2 linked regions of the Oryctolagus cuniculus genome follow. The protein of the gene in region 1 interacts with the protein of each later gene in a biochemical or structural test. Links are inferred from orthologs where the notes say so. Each region holds a gene or a part of one and is shown on either strand. Other genes may lie near its edges.

Evidence for each region.
Region 2: the proteins of RPA1 (region 1) and PRPF19 form a complex in vitro, tested with the Homo sapiens proteins (2 studies listed by BioGRID, with this or other methods). The link is inferred for Oryctolagus cuniculus from reciprocal best matches to the Homo sapiens genes RPA1 and PRPF19.

What each region holds. Positions count from the first base shown.
Region 1 is NC_091448.1:47,342,854-47,346,759, reverse strand, and holds the start of RPA1 (replication protein A 70 kDa DNA-binding subunit), read right to left. Parts: upstream 2,595-3,906; 5' UTR 2,443-2,594; coding exon 2,410-2,442; intron 1-2,409. UniProt on the Homo sapiens protein: As part of the heterotrimeric replication protein A complex (RPA/RP-A), binds and stabilizes single-stranded DNA intermediates that form during DNA replication or upon DNA stress.
Region 2 is NC_091432.1:11,685,635-11,689,540, reverse strand, and holds the start of PRPF19 (pre-mRNA-processing factor 19), read right to left. Parts: upstream 2,485-3,906; 5' UTR 2,262-2,484; coding exon 2,243-2,261; intron 532-2,242; coding exon 382-531; intron 273-381; coding exon 196-272; intron 1-195. UniProt on the Homo sapiens protein: Ubiquitin-protein ligase which is a core component of several complexes mainly involved pre-mRNA splicing and DNA repair. Required for pre-mRNA splicing as component of the spliceosome.

The sequences.
Region 1 (3,906 bases):
ACTCACTCAACTCTGACAGCTGTCTGTCCCTTCCTGCCTTTCTTCCCCATCCAGCTCTATCCTTCTTTCCGCTGTCTTAATCATTCACGCAGCTAGCAAACATTTGCCAGGCACCTACAACTCGTCAGCTCTGCTCCAGGTACTGGGGACACTGTGGGAACCAAAAACAACCCAGCATGACTGCAGGCCCCATGGAATTTACAACCTACTGGAGGAGACAGACCGTAACTGACATTAATCAATAAGCAATTAATCAATAAGCAATCAATGTAAAATTACACGTGTGACTATTAATCCCAGGTAACATATACTGAGCATTTACTATGTAACAGGCAATGAGCTAAACACTTAAATGTATTAACACACTTTCTTACTTTATGCAAAAGGTACTAGGCATCATCACCCTGATATTACAGAAGGAAAACAGTCCAGTGTTCTGCCCAAAGTCACAGATCTAACAAGGGAACACACAGGAATTACAGTCCCAAAATAAAATAATTTAGCCTAGTAAGTGAAGTCAAAGAAGACTTCCCCCAAAAGTAACTACTGAGCTTAAGATTTGAAAATTATGTTAGCCCATGAGGGAGGAGTGAAGAACCCAGGCAGAAGGAAAAGAATGTTCAAAAGCCCCACGTAAGGGTCCGGCGCTGTGATGCAGTGGGCCTGAAGCGCCAGCATCCCATATGGGCGCTGGTTCTAGTCTCGGCTGCTCCTCTTCCAATCCAGCTCTTTGCTATGGCCTGGGAAAGCAGTAGAAGATGGCCAAAGTCCTTGAGCCCCTGCACCCACGTGGGAGACCTGGAAGAAGCTCCTGGATCCTGGCTTCGGATGGGCGCAGCTCCAACCTTTGCGGCCATCTGGGGAGTGAACCATCGGACTGAAGACCTCTCTGTCTCTCTGTGTAACTCTGACTTTCAAATAAATAAATCTTTAAAAAAAAAAGAGCCCCGCGTAAGGCAAGAGTATGCAATGTATCAGGAATTTAAAGGTTTTTTTTTTTAAGGCTATAGAAGAGAGTAAAAGAATAGTGGGAAGAGGGTAGTCAAGCCAAGAAATGAAGGTGCCAGTATAGATGGGAAGAAGTGGATGGATTTAAAAGATCTACGTGGGGAGCCCGGGTTGTGGCACAGTGGGGTTAAGCCTCTAGCTGACATCCAGATGAGCATTGATTCAAGCCCTGGCTGCTCCTCTTCCAATCCAGCTCCCTGCTAATGCGCTCGAGAAAGCGGCAACGGATGGCCCAGGTGCTGGGCCCCGGCCACCCACACGGGAAATCCGCACAGAGTTCCAGGCTCCTGGCTCCAGGATGTTGGAAAGTGAAGGAGCAGATGGAAGAGCTCTCTCTCCTTTTCCTTCTCCAACTCTGCCTTTCACATACAAGAAATATTTAAAAAGAAACAAACAGGGTTGGTGCTGTAGCACAATGGGCTAAGCCTCTGCCTGCAGTGCCAGCATCCCACAGGGGTGGAGGTTCGAATCCCAGCTGCTCCACTTCCGATCCAGCTCTGTTATGGCCTGGGAAATCATAGAAAGTGGCCCAAGTGCTTGGGCCCCTGCACCCACGCGGGAGACCTGGAAGAAGGTCCTGGCTCCTGGCTTCGAATCGGCCCAGTTCCAGCCACGGCGGCCACTTGGGGAGTGAACAAGAGGATGCAGGATCTCTCTCTTTGCCTCTGTCTCTCTGTAACTCTGCCTTTCAAATAAGTCAATAAATCTTAACCAAAAATAAATAAAGGATCTATGCTAAGGTAAAATACGCTCCACTTGGTGCTGGACTGGACGTGTGAACTGTTTCTGGCTGGGTAACATCCGGAGACCCAGACTTGGGAAGATAAAGGATCTGCTCCGGGCAGATGGCATTTAAGATGCCTTTGATACACTAGGTAGACGGATGAGTACAGAAGTCTTTTCGAGTAAAGGGGGCTTGGCACGGAGAAACCTGTTAACTGACTTCTGGATGGTAATGAAGTTGCCAGGGGTGGAGGGGGAGGAGCCAGGGGATCAAAAGCAAGACTAGGCAAGCTGAGCCAGAGGCCAAAGGCAGAGGTGATCAACAGGCCCCAGCGCCGCGGGGACCAGGCTGACCCACGGCAGGTGCCGCGAGGCGAGGACACAGAGTAACTGGAAACAGACGACTCTCGAGAAGTTTGGGGGGATGGGGGAAGGGCGGCCGGCGAGGGAGATGCGAACAAAGTACACGTCTGTTTTCTTGGCAGAAAAACGTTGAGCGTGTGTAACGAACACTGGAAGGCTCCCGCGACAAGAGGGCGCCGATCAGCGCGGGGTAAACCCCCGCGGCTCCCCCGCCATCTGCTTCTCCTGCGTTGTCCCGCCCACCGCCCTGGCTCCCCTCCTCCGTCCCCGCTCCGCACGGCTGCGCGCCCACGACCGCTCCCAGCCTCTCCTCACCGCAATGGCCCCCTCACTCAGGTGGCCGACCATGGCTCCGCCGCGCCAACTGCCGCGCTCGGGGTTCGCAGCAGCCCTGCCTTCACTACCGGGGTCCCGCGGGCTGCACGGCAATTGGCCAGAGGAATTGCGCGCGCCACTCCCGCCCACGACGTGCGCGCGGCCTAGGGAGGGGCTTAGGGCCCGAGCAGACTGCGCATTGGCCGAGACGGCGCACGTGACCTGGCGGAGGCCGGGTTCGAGGCCTAGTGGCGGGCTGGCGGGGCCTGGGGGCGGAGCGCCGCGACGCGGGGCGCGCCGGGTGTCGCGCGCGTGCGGCGGAGCGTGCCGACGACCCAGCTACGCGAGCTCGGCCTGGGCACCTGCGAGAACGCCCGACCGGGAGTTTGGCGCGCGGTCAGCCTGGCAAGCCAGAGCCGAACCAGAGCTGCCCCCCCCCCCCTTATAATTACGGCTAAATAGGCTCAAGGCAGCGACTGGATTCCTTAAGCCCTGAACCGTGGCATCCAGGGGCCCTCTGAAGGTAAATAAGATTCAGTTCCCGCAAGTCACAGAAGAGGACTTGCCCAACTCAGGAGATCGGGGAGGCTTCCCAAAGAAGGTGCCGTTTGAATCGAGGAGAAGGTTTTGTAGGAAGTTGCTAGGTGGACTCCAGATAAGAGTGCCTGTGCCTGTGCCTGTGCCTGTGCCAAAACCCTGCGGAGGTGGAATCGCCTGGCATGCTGGGATAGCAGAGTAGATAGAGGAAGAAGCGGGGTTTGAGTTAGAAAGCCGTGGACTTCCCTGTGTGCTAGCATTCAGGAGCATTCGTGAATTCAAGTCAGAGGACTGTCACCTGTCCCGGTGCAGGATGGCCTGAAGGTGTGGAGCCACTCTGACGCTCTGACGCTCTGGAAAGAATGCCACGCCAGGGTTGGTGAGGTCTTGGACTGCAGGGAGCTGCGGACTGAAACAGAAAACTGGACCTAGAGAGAGACGGTTGTAGTCGCAAGGGTCAGTGAGAGGGGAGAACCTGGGTGTCTCTCAGGAGTCCCACCTGGATGGCGAAGGTCTCAGAGGGGCCTGAGGGCAGCTCTCTGCAGTCATCAGACTTGTTTTCTTTTCTTTCTTTCTTTCTTTCTTTTTTTTTTTTTTTTTTTTTTGACAGGCAGAGTAGAGAGACAGAGAGAAAGGTCTTCCTTTTGCCGTTGGTTCACCCTCCAATGGCCGCCACGGCTGGCACGCTGCGGCCGGCGCACTGCGCTGATCCGAAGGCAGGAACCAGGTACTTATCCTGGTCTCCCATGGGGTGCAGGGCCCAAGCACTTGGGCCATCCTCCACTGCCTTCCCGGGCCACAGCAGAGAGCTGGCATGGAAGAGGGGCACCTGGGACAGAATCCGGCACCCCGACCGGGACTAGAACCCGGTGTGCTGGCACCACTAGGTGGAGGATTAGCCTATTGAGCTGAGGCGCAGGCCTAAGACTCATAGCGCTGTGGGCTGGCTTGGTGTCTGGG
Region 2 (3,906 bases), on another chromosome or scaffold:
ACAGTCAGGAAAATCAGGGCTCAGAGCAATAAATCCAGTCACACTGCTCATGAGCGAGAGAGAGAAGCGTGGGATCCAGGTTGTGTGACTTCACCACCAAGCTCCCCCTGTGCTGCCTTCCCCCACCCCACGTCCTAGTCCAGGGATATACTCTCTCTGAGTGGGGGAGACATCAGCTTTCTCCCAGGAACTTACCCACTCATCCTGCAAGGCTTTCAGGATGGCTGGGATGCTGGTGGCTGAGGGGGGCTTGGGCCGGATTGGGTGGGCAACTGCCAAGAGAGGAAAGTCAGGTGTGAAAACCTGTAACCCAGGCAACCCCCCTACCCCAACCTCAGGTTCTGAGCCAAGAGGCCCACACTGAGGCCGACCAACGGGTACCTTTGATGTCGATGAGCTGCTCCTCGGAGAGAGGCTGGTTGTTAATGGGGTCTGTACCATTCTCAGCAATGTACTTCTCTATGAGCCGCCGCTCGTAGACGTGATTAGAGACGGGGGACACGCACGGGTGTTCTGGCACTTCATTGGAGACTGCAGAGAAAGGCAGGCAGTAGGCTTGGGATGAAAGACAATCTGGGGCCGAGGGGATTCCTAACTGCCACCAGCCCAACAAGTCCCCACATCCACTCAACTCAGGGGAAGCACATGATGCCAAGGCAGCTTTAGGCTAGCCCCTAAATGTTCTCCAGCTACCTATGTGGCTTCTCCATTGGTCTCTCGAAAGCCTGGGTGGTCAAAAATTAACTACTACACAGCTCCTATGCACTGGGCACCCAGAATGCAGTCAATAAGCCCTGCCATCTCATTTTCAACAGGTAGTTGGGGACCCACACCAGAGAGTTACTCTCCACACCCTGGAGAGCGTGTGAAGCCATTCAGGCAGCTGCCATCCACCTCAGTCACAACCCTAACTGGATCAGGAGACACAGGGACTACACAGCAGCATGACAGACACCAGGGTACCAGAACCATTTACACGGTGCTCACTCCGTGCCGGCCAGGATGCTAAGCACTTCACACAGGTGCACCTGTCCCCCCAACAACCTCCAAGCAGTTCTCATACACATTCTTGCCCTGGGAGACAGTGCCCCCCTGAAGGGCAGTGAGCACAGCCCGTCTGGTACTTCAGTCCAACGCAGACGCCCTGCAGCACCCAACAAATCGGGTGGATGAGTGCAGGCTCGGGCCGGGGCTCAGGAGGGGGCACCTCCAGGTGTGGCAGTCCGGCATGGGCAACACTTTGGACTAACCAGAAGCAGGCTGAGGCTCAGTGTCTCTTGCCCCCTCTCTCTCTGCACCCCCAACCCAAGCGTGGTGGCAATGGAGGTATCGCTGAATTCCTTATCTATCCCAACACAGGCTCTCCAAGAGAAATACATGGATCACGGATGCGTCCTCTGGAATCTCATCACTCAGGGGAGACTGGCTCACGTCGGGAGAGGCCGAAGGTCTCCGGGCAGAGGAGGTCACTTAATCTCTTCAAGGCAGCTCTGCGACACTGTTCACTATGACTGCCTGGGCCTAGTCGTCTGCACCAGACAATAATCGGTCCGCTGTCAGTCTGGCCCCATCAACCAGCTCTCGCGGGCACTGGCTGTGCCCCTCCACAGGAGCCCCACTCCTCCCGAGCCCTACAGTCCCATTTGTACGCCTCCCGCAGGGAATTCCTGCGAGGACAAAACGAGATCGTGGGCTTGGAAGCGTGCTGTAAACCAATGTGTGTGCTCTTTTTATCAGTCATGCACAGCGCGCGGCTGGGAGCCGGACACCTGGCTTCCAGCCCCGTCGGCCTCTCGCTCCCTGCGTGACCTTCGCAAACTGCAGAGGCTCCAACTATCCGTGCGAGACCTCCGACGAGACCCAACGCAATGCTCTCAGTCTCGCAGACGGGGAAACTGAGGCCCAGCGTCTCGCGCCACATCGCAAGGCCGATCGAAGGCTGCTGCTGGACAAATCCTCAGGTTTCCTGGCTCCTACACCACGGCGGCTTCCCCTGCACCAGCTCCTCTGCCCAGGCCTGCCCAGTGGGCCCAAGTGACCCCTGCGACAATAAACCTGAGGTGATAAGTAAACTGCGCCAACACTGCGCCAAATACACGCCGCCGTAAGGGGCAGAGCACCCCGTGCTGACAGGCGGCCCGTTCCCGCCTCCGCCCGACCCCGGCGCCGCAGCGGCCTGCACACTAGCCCTCTCCTCTCTCCCGCCTCCTGCGACCTGAGATCGCCAGCGGCCAGTACTCACTAGAGCAGATCAGGGACATGGCGCCGACGCAGCGCTCTGAGGCGCCTTACTCAGGGCTCCGGGTCTACCTTCGGCGCCTCTGCGGGCTACTTCCGGTTCCCCCGCTGCTTCCGGACGCTCCGCGGTAAGCAGGGAGCTACCCCGCGGAGCGATGCCCGCGTAGCGTTTCACGTGGGAGTGTGGCCGGTCGCGCGCCTCAGCCTTCAGCACCTAACGGAAACTGCCCTTTCCCAGAATGCAACGGCACAGGAAAGAGCCCGCCCCGGGACAATCGGCTGTCTCCGGATTCACTCGGCTTCTTCCGTGAAGCCTTCAGGGGCGGGGCAAGCAGCGGAGAGGCGATCCGAAACTACACTTCCCATAGTGCAATGGGAACTTAAAGGGCTAGTCGTTCTGTACTGAGCTATTGGAATGCAGTCTTTCGAATCTCATGTAGATTTCTCGGGTCTGCCTTAGAAAGTCTGAAAGTGCCTCACGTAATTCTGAGGCAGGTGTTTTCTGGGCTGCCCTTTGAGAGACACTGCTGGCCGACCTGGTGAAGAAAGCACAGGGAGAGGAACACTGTCCAAGAAATTGAAGGCCCTACTCCTACCACAGTTTGCTCGGTGGTCTTAGACAAGTTGCCGGCTTCACCGCCCCTTCGTCCTTCTAGGTCCCTTGCAGTTCGGATAGTGTCTGGTTCTTCGTGGGGATCAGTAAAATGGGATATTCTCGAGATTCACGTAGGGAAGCAGACAAAGGTGTAGGACGGACAGGTGTGGTCAGCGAAGACTTCTGCGCTGGACTTCCGCAGGTGGGCATTGTCAGAGAAGAAGGAGAATGGAGTATTCTAGAAGGGGCAACAGCGTGAGCACAGGCTTGGGGAGAAGAATTAATGGCGGAGGGGGCAAGAGCGTGGACTCGACAGTCAAACTGTGCCCAAATGCCAGCTCCACACAGGTGGTCCACGGTACGGACTCTACGCCTCTGTTTCTTCGGCTGTAAATAGAGGAAGTGATAACCAGGGTATGTTTCTTTTCTTCCTGATTTTATATTTTTACTGAAAAGGGTATATTTAACATGAAGACCACAGAGGCTTCTGCTCTGCACCCTGACGGACCAGGTCAGATGGAAGCCCTTACGATGAGGCTGTTCATGTTGCCAAACCCAAACTGAATTGTTATCTGATCTTTCAAGCAGTTACTAAACCGAGATAACAGCTATGTTCCCTAAACAACCCAGTGTGGTCCCTAAACAGGGCAAGTTCCCTAAGCAGGCATAATGACGGTTCTGATAAGCTCTCTGCTTTAATCCTTACAAACAGTGACCTGAAGTCATCTGGTGCTGATGAATCCATCATTTTTTACCTTATTCAGTCTCCCTGTCCCCGCCCTCCAAGGAAAGTGGGTTACCAATTCACATTTTGTTCTTTCTGTTTTGTTTTCAACTCCATGAAGCCAACCTCCTCTGCCCAAACCCTTGGACACTTCCTTTGTTCTGTTGGTGGGAGTGTTGCCTGACTCTAATGGAAATCAAAGCCAATTAAGATCTTTAAGTGATATTATACTTTTGTCCTTAGACAGGCAGAACCAAATCCCTGGGTTTCTGATGAGTTAGTATAGGAAAAGTGCATCTCTTCCCTACACAAATGAAATAGCATCCTGATGAGTCTCCTTGCTTGCAGC